Linked DNA regions of Coturnix japonica. The protein of the gene in region 1 purifies or fractionates together with the protein of each later gene. This does not show direct contact. Links are inferred from orthologs where the notes say so. Each region holds a gene or a part of one and is shown in the gene's direction. Other genes may lie near its edges.

The links. The genes of interacting proteins can lie anywhere in the genome.
Region 2: the proteins of XPO6 (region 1) and ZMAT2 purify together in Homo sapiens (co-immunoprecipitation; 3 studies listed by BioGRID and IntAct, with this or other methods). This does not show direct contact. The link is inferred for Coturnix japonica from reciprocal best matches to the Homo sapiens genes XPO6 and ZMAT2.

Annotation. Positions count from the first base shown.
Region 1 is NC_029529.1:11,409,829-11,414,029, forward strand, and holds part of XPO6 (exportin-6), read left to right. Parts: intron 1-578; coding exon 579-768; intron 769-1,508; coding exon 1,509-1,664; intron 1,665-2,861; coding exon 2,862-2,976; intron 2,977-3,441; coding exon 3,442-3,613; intron 3,614-4,045; coding exon 4,046-4,201. UniProt on the Homo sapiens protein: Mediates the nuclear export of actin and profilin-actin complexes in somatic cells.
Region 2 is NC_029528.1:15,092,202-15,095,524, reverse strand, and holds the end of ZMAT2 (zinc finger matrin-type protein 2), read left to right. Parts: coding exon 1-14; intron 15-1,526; coding exon 1,527-1,670; 3' UTR 1,671-2,335; downstream 2,336-3,323. UniProt on the Homo sapiens protein: Involved in pre-mRNA splicing as a component of the spliceosome.

The DNA of each region.
Region 1 (4,201 bases):
CATAGTGGCAGTTTGTCAATAGTTATCTATTTCAAGCTGCAGCGTAGGGGAAAAAACACAGTTGCAACTCTTAAATGTTACTCATTTCTCACTTGCTGACACAGACCCTGACTGCATTACCTTTGCAGTACTGGCATATTGATTCTGACATGCAGAAAGAGTTGGTGAAACTTCTGTTAGCATTCTGTATACCTCACTCCAAATGAATGTATTAGGATTACTGAAAAGCTGCAGCAAAGATGGGGATTCTGTTGCATTGGGCACTAGCATGGGGGGACAAAGTGCTATACAGACATGGGTGCTTCCTGTCTAAACCAGACAGAGCAATGGAATTGGCATCGTCTTGTTTTGGAGATACAAGGAACATTGAGTTCTTGTTGCACAGAAGGGTACAGAGATGAGAGCTGACTCCAGCTCTGAAGTCACGGAGCTTTGCTTCTCTCTCACCTTGCAGAGTTGCTGGTTGTCACTTGGGCACAACTGCTGCTTTGGGCAGCCATAAAATGTCAGTCTAAGGGTGTCTGTGAGTTATGAGTGAATAGAAAACTCTGAAAACTTCCATGTTTCATCGTTTCCAGGCCCAGGTGCTGGTGTGCAGAGCGCTATCAAATGTATTGTTGCTACCTTGGCCAAATCTTCCGGAGAGTGAGCAGCAGTGGGCGGTTCGCTCCACCAACCACACCAGCCTCATCTCTGCCCTCACCAGGGACTATCGCCAATTGAAATCCAATGCTATATTGCCACAGAGGAAAGTGCAGATGGAGGACAGTAAGTACCCAGTTTCCTAGTGTGTGCTGGCCCTACTGCAGTTGCAGTGCTGACTGTTGGAGGGAGTCATTGAGCTGTCTTTCCAGTAATTCTTTTGGCTGAGAGCTGCTTAGCACATGGGAAGGAGCAATTAGTTTGTTTTTTTGTTAGAAACACTTCCTCTATGGTTTGTAAGGGATGCTTTCACCCCAGGCTGCTGCAAACTGTTCCGTCTTCCTCAGTTGCTCAGGGAAAGTGAGTTTGTAATAGAAATTTGAATGGCACTGATTGCACTGGGAATGCTGAGCAATCTAATGCTGGGACTTCTGGGTTAGTTTATTCAGTGACTGTGTATTGCTCCAATTGTTACTTCCACAAATAGAGATTTGCAATATATTTTGCTATCAAAATAAGCTTATGTTTTCTTGACTGTTCTTTCTTAATCTATGTTGTGCTGGAAATAACGCTGACCTATGGCTTCCTTCAGACTGTGCACCTTAGTTCTCAAGCAATGAGTGCGTCTGTAGGGCTGTAAGCCTGTATAATTTAAGAATGCAAGTTGCCACTGTTACTTGGCTGAACCTATTTAAATGTTTAAAATGTGAATGTACTTTAGAAACACTTCTGACTCCAACCTGGGCTTTGATGTATGTGCTGCCTTGTGTGTTATTTTAAGTACAGCTCACATGAACTTCTCTTCATTTTTTGCCTGTGGGTAGTTTTGACATATGCAGGAAGTATCACCTCTTTTCTTTTTGCAGCCAAAGTGATCATCCATCAGACGCTCAGCGTTTTAGAAGATATTGTAGAAAGTATCTCTGGAGAATCCACCAAATCTCGGCAGATCTGTTATCAGTCGCTGCAAGAATCCGTGCAGGTCTCACTAGCCCTCTTCCCAGCTTTCATTCATCAGTCAGGTATAACCATAGGACAGGTTTAATGCTGTGAGTAGCTTTATCACCTCCCAATAACACCCAGAGCCCATCAGTGTAGGGTCATGGTGTTCATGTGAAGTGTGTGGGCTTGCTGTGCAATGCAGGTCTGTCCTGGTGGGTGGGTTGATTCAGAAGAGGAAAGGGAGATGTGGTGTCATCTACAACACAGTCATGAGGACTTGTCACACTTCCAGTGGGTGGAGATGCCCTTTGTTGTGTTCAGGCAGTGAAAAGGAATGGAGCTTTTCATGAGCACAAAAGAGCTTTCAAATACTACACCTATGATGGGCTCCTAAGATGTCCAGGTTGGATGGGACCTGGGCAAAACCTGGTGATGTGGCAGCCCTGCCCACTGCAGGAGGGCTTGGAACTGTCTGGTCTTTAAGGTCTCTTCCAACCCAAGTCATTCTTTGAGTCAATGTAACTAGGACTGCTGCTTGGCAATCTTATAGCCAGCTCTTACATTTTGTGTCTGATCACTTGCATGGGGCTGCAGCAGCTTTGTGAGGAGCCACTCATTCCAGAACAAACTTCTGGAGTCAGGTGGCATCTTGTCAGTGAAATGCCAATACAAAGACACAGAAAGGATCCAAGGCAGCAAACTGTGACTCCAGTGAATTGCTGCCTTCACTTGCATGAGGCTGCTCACCCATTTTGTGTTGGCTATAAAAGGCTGTATGAAGCAGGACCTGAGTGGTTGCAGCTTACTGTGGCTGTTCAGTAAAGCATACTGGGATTAGCTGCGGTGCAGTGCAACTCTGTGCTGAGAATCACCTCTGAAGTCAGAAGGATTTTCTCAGAGCCTCCCCCCGAAAAAAGAAAAAAAGCTGAATTCTCTCTCTTGGCCACTTCAAGCTGTACTGAGCTGTTGTGGATTTCCTTGCATTTCCTGTTAACCCTGTGTGCAGGGAGCTGCTGAAGCCCAGGCCATTGCAAGAGCTTTCTCCAAGCTGTCTGTGTAGGCAGACAGACCCAGGGCCCTTGTACTTATTCTGTGGTGTTGATGCTGACTGTACTTGTCCAAGTATTGATTTCAATTTCTAATGGCGAAGCTGCTGCTAATTTTTCAGGAATAAATGGGATTCCCTGTACAGGAGGAGCAGATACCACATAAAAGACTTTTTCATGTGTTTGAATGTTGCCTTAACGCACTCTGTTTGCTTTCCTGTTCTGCCTTAGATGTGACGGATGAGATGCTGAGCTTCTTCCTCACTTTGTTTCAAGGACTGAGAGTGCAGATGGGAGTGCCTTTCACTGAGCAGATCATACAGACTTTCCTAAATATGTTCACCAGGTATTGTTTTGTGCTGGTCACTTTTTTCTCATCCCTGGTGATGGTTTATCTTGGCCAGCTAACTAAACACATCCCAGTCCCTAAAGAAAAGAGTGTTGCACTTCTTCCTCTGCATCCAGGTTTTAGTGACCCAGTCTGTGCATGATGGCCCATGTACCTGATGTGCTGTTTCAGCTTTCCCAGAGACTTGACAGTATTGGGAGTGTGTGATACTGAACACTGGACTCTGGCATTACCTGTATCAGCCAGTGTTTTTGTGCACCCCTGTTATCCCTAAAGCTTCTGTGAGGGAAAAGCGTCTATGAGTCCTTAGTCAATACCTACCTCCCTTCCGTGACTTAATGTTCTTAGGCTGTATTAGTTGAGGAAGCTTAGAGACACTGTCTGCTTCCCTTTCAATTTGGTAGGTAAGCATTGCAGATCTCAGGGAAAGATTCCATCCAGCAACTTCATTTTTTGTTGCAGAGAGCAGCTGGCAGAGAGCATCCTCCATGAGGGCAGCACTGGCTGTCGGGTGGTGGAGAAGTTTCTGAAAATTCTGCAAGTGGTGGTGCAGGAACCAGGCCAAGTATTCAAGCCTTTTCTACCCAGTGTCATTTCACTGTGCATGGAGCAGGTGTACCCCATCATTGCGGAGGTAGGAGTGCTCTCACACCAGGTGAACACAGAGGGGGAAGTGAAGGCCTTGCTGGGGCTGTGGGGAGCAAGTGAGGGCTTTGCTTTCCAGGAGCTGTAATGTCAGTCCCAGCACAGGGAGAGTTGGGGAGTTTGGAAGCAGTGTGGGTGGAGGGTTTTGTCAGAGGTTGTTGAATACACTGAAGGTACAGACATGCTCAGAGCAGGAGGTAAAACAAAACTGGATTATGTGTTCTTAGCATGAAGGTGTGATCCAGCAGTTGCTGAGGTTGATGCCTTCCATAGAAGGAAATCCTTCATTCTGGTACCTCGGCTGCAGAGTGCTCCTGGAGGGCCACCACCACAGAGCAGGGTGCTGCCAACAAAGTAACCCAGGGCATAAGTGGGATTCCAGCATAGGAGCCTCTTCTGAGGCGTTCTTCTTTCCTCCTAGCGCTCATCTCCTGATGTGAAAGCAGAGCTGTTCGAGCTGCTTTTCAGAGTCCTCCATCACAACTGGCGGTACTTCTTCAAATCCAGTGTTCTGGCCAGTGTCCAGAGGGGAGTGGCAGAAGAGCAGATGGAGAATGAAGCACAGTTCAGTGCCATC
Region 2 (3,323 bases), on another chromosome or scaffold:
AGCTCCGTGAGGAGGTGAGTGTGGGCAGCAGCTGGCAAAGCTGAACCCCTGAGGAAAGCAGCCCTGGTTCCTTATCCTGTTTAACAAAGATCTTGTACTTGGTAGTGTGGGCTTCTTATCTGCTGCACTGACCGGGTCTGTGTACTTGCTGTTTGTTTTCTTAAGGATAGTTTCTGCTCTGGTCCCTGGAAATCCTTTTTCCTTCTCTATGCATGAGGATAACTTTTGATACTTCAAGCTTCTGCTAAGAGTACTGAAGCCCTGACGGTGCACCTGCTTTGTGTCCCATTACTTGTGTTTGAATTTATGTGCTTTGATAAACAGACCCGTGTGCTTGTTCCTGATCGTCGTGTGGTGTGCTGTGGTTCTGGGGGTTGCTGATTGATTCCTCCTCCATGTGGCACATTGCTTTTGTGTGGCTTTCCCAAGTGAAGAAGGGCTTCATGAGTGGTGTGCTGTGCTGTGGGATGTGTGTGGAGGCAATGGAAAGCATCGGATTCCTCTCAAATCTGGGCTTAAGTGCCAGTTCCCTGAAACAGAGATCAAGTTTATGTCTGAGAAACAACTGACAGAGCTCTGACAGTTAAGGAGCTTCTCTGCATGCTTCTCCTTCAACAGCAGTCATACAAACACCAGACATGCTGCATGTTTGTCTCCCTGCTGAAGCCCCCAGCTTTGCTCCACAGGCTGCAAGTCCTAGTGCTTGGCAGCCCCATGCTCTGCCATGAGGCCTTGGTGCTGCTGAGCCTGCTCAGTCGGGAGAGGCAGGAGACTGCCTTAGCAGTGCTGAGCGTGCAGTGGGTGAAAAAGCTATTGCCAATCTATGCATGACAACAAAGAAAGCAGCAGCAGCAGCTTTTGGTGCGGTTTTCTTCAGGGCCTGGCTGTCTTCAATAGCTGCAGAGCAGTGGATGGTGATGGGAATGGCAGGTTCAGTTGCTAAGTCGGGAGCTGGAGCCATACTTGTGTGTCGCCCAGTACCAGCCTGGCGCTGTTCCAGGGCTTGTGATCCTTACAGAGCAAAGCACTTTGATTAGTGCAGTGCAAAATCTTTGATGCCAAAACCCCCACAGCCACTTAGAGCTCAACTTCTGTTCCAGTGAGCGGCTGTCACTCTGCCGCGCTGACAGCCAATGGGCAGTGACATTCCACATCACAGCCCTTGGAACAGGGCACTTTGTGATGGAAATGCCTCTTGCTTTACCAGCAGCCCCTTCTCAGTGTTGATTCCAGGTGAAATCTCTGCCATCTGCTTGGACGTGAGAGCTGTTGATTTCACGGGGCATCGCTTCGGCTGCATCCTCTGTGTGCGACTTCCCTCCTGGGGTGGGAGTGGGTGGTCTGTAGGCAGTGGGAAACCTCCTGGGAGGCTGCAGACCAAGATTTCTGCTGGCTGTTTTATTTCTTCAGATACAATTTGGGTCATGTTGGTTGGATTTTGAGTTAACTGTGCAGTGCCCGACATCTCAAAAGCTTACCTACCTCAGGAGGTTCAGGTTGTTTTGCTGTTCTCTTCCTCGCTGCAGGAGGAAAAGGCCAAAGCCTACAAGAAGGAGAAGCAGAGAGAAAAGAAAAGGAGGGCAGAGGAAGATTTGACTTTTGAAGAGGATGATGAGATGGCGGCTGTGATGGGCTTCTCTGGCTTCGGCTCAACCAAAAAGAATCACTGAGAAGCTCTGGACTCTTTGTTGAAGCAGATTGTTTTTACCGGGGGGACTCTGGATAATTCTTTTAAGACTTGACTGAGGACTTGTATGTAAATCTCCCAGTAGAAGTTGGCCAGAGGAGTTGAAAAGCGATTCCGTGCTCTACCTGCAGAACAAACTCCACCTGTCTTTAGCTTCCCATCTCCTTCTGTGTCCTAGATCTGGCTGCTCGTCAGTGCTCTTCGGCCTTGTGTGTGCAGGGGAACGTTCTGCTGGGTGCAGTTTTGTGTCAATAAAGTGCAGCAGTTCTGTACGGATGGCATTGTTCAGAGTTATTGTAGTTGTCAGCTGGGCATCGTTGTTGTGAGGTGGTGAGATGCAGAGGCGTTGGGCTTCTTTTTGGGTCAGGTGACGGAATTGTGCCATGGTGAGCAGTGCTGTTCTGTACAGCATGAACCTTTTGGCTTGTGCTAAGCAGGGCTGGGGGCTGCTTGGAGTCTGGGTTACTGAAATTTTCCTACATATTTTATCTGTAAGGGATACTTCCCTGGTTTCCTTTGTGTTTTGTGCCATAACTTTGATATCTTTAATCCAAGGGAGAAGCTCCTCCCCAGGGCTGATCTAGGATAGAGCAAATGAAAGAACAATGTGTGCGATTTGCCCAGAATAAATGGATAGTTCCAATTGGCCCTTTGGTGGGAGTTTGAGTCCTTTGTTTTGATTGCTGCTGCCTCCTTTGAGAAGAGCTGCCGATGTCCCCTGCGGTGCACAGAGCTGCTGGTGGCCTTCAGGGGAGCTCTGCAGAGGGAAAGGCAGATCTTGCCTGTCCTCTCCCTTGGGGCTGCTTGCTCAGCTGCCAGCTCCCCGCTCTGCAGGCAGTTGCTGCCATTTTTTCACATTTTAACGTGGTTCTTCAGATGCAAGTGAGAAATGGGGAGGTGGACAGCGCTGGGGACCTGCATTTCCATTGAACAGACCAGGAGCAGACCAGGGTGCATTCCAGAATTTACCAGCCTTCATATATCACGGGCCACTTCTACCCTGTCTGCTGGCTCTCAGTGTCATTTCACCTCTGCCCTCCCTCAATCCTCTTCATTCCTGCTTTTATTTACTTCAGTCAAACCTTGTGTGACTCATTTTGGGCTCCGGTTGGGGTTTATGTTTTACGTGGCTGGGTTTTTATAGCTCTGCCTTTCTCTCCTCTCTCTTTCATGCACGTTGATGAGATCCTTGTTCTTGCCCTTCTCTGTACTTTTATGAAATTTCCGACCCGAGGAAGGCTGCAATGTGCTCAGCCTGCTCCTCCTAATACATCTCCAACAAATCCTGTAATGCTCTGCTGCTGTTTTAATTCCTTAATCTTAGACTGCTGACAGCTTCATTGCCTCAGGTCTTTCCACTTCAATTCAGATTATAATCCCCGTTGAAGATGCTATTGAAATGATATATAGCCAGTCAGATACAACTGTCCTTGGAGATTTGACCCTTTTAACTTGGCAATCCTCAGACTTCAGCAAACACTCCCTGAGCACTCGAGCTGGAAGGCAACTTTCATTCCAGCCACGTAGCCAGCGCTGCTCAGACTGCAGCACGTGGCTCCTGCTGAATGGGAGAGAGGAGACGCTTGTGCCTTTGTGCCCTCTGGGGCAGCAAAGGGATGCTGCCATGGTTCTGTTT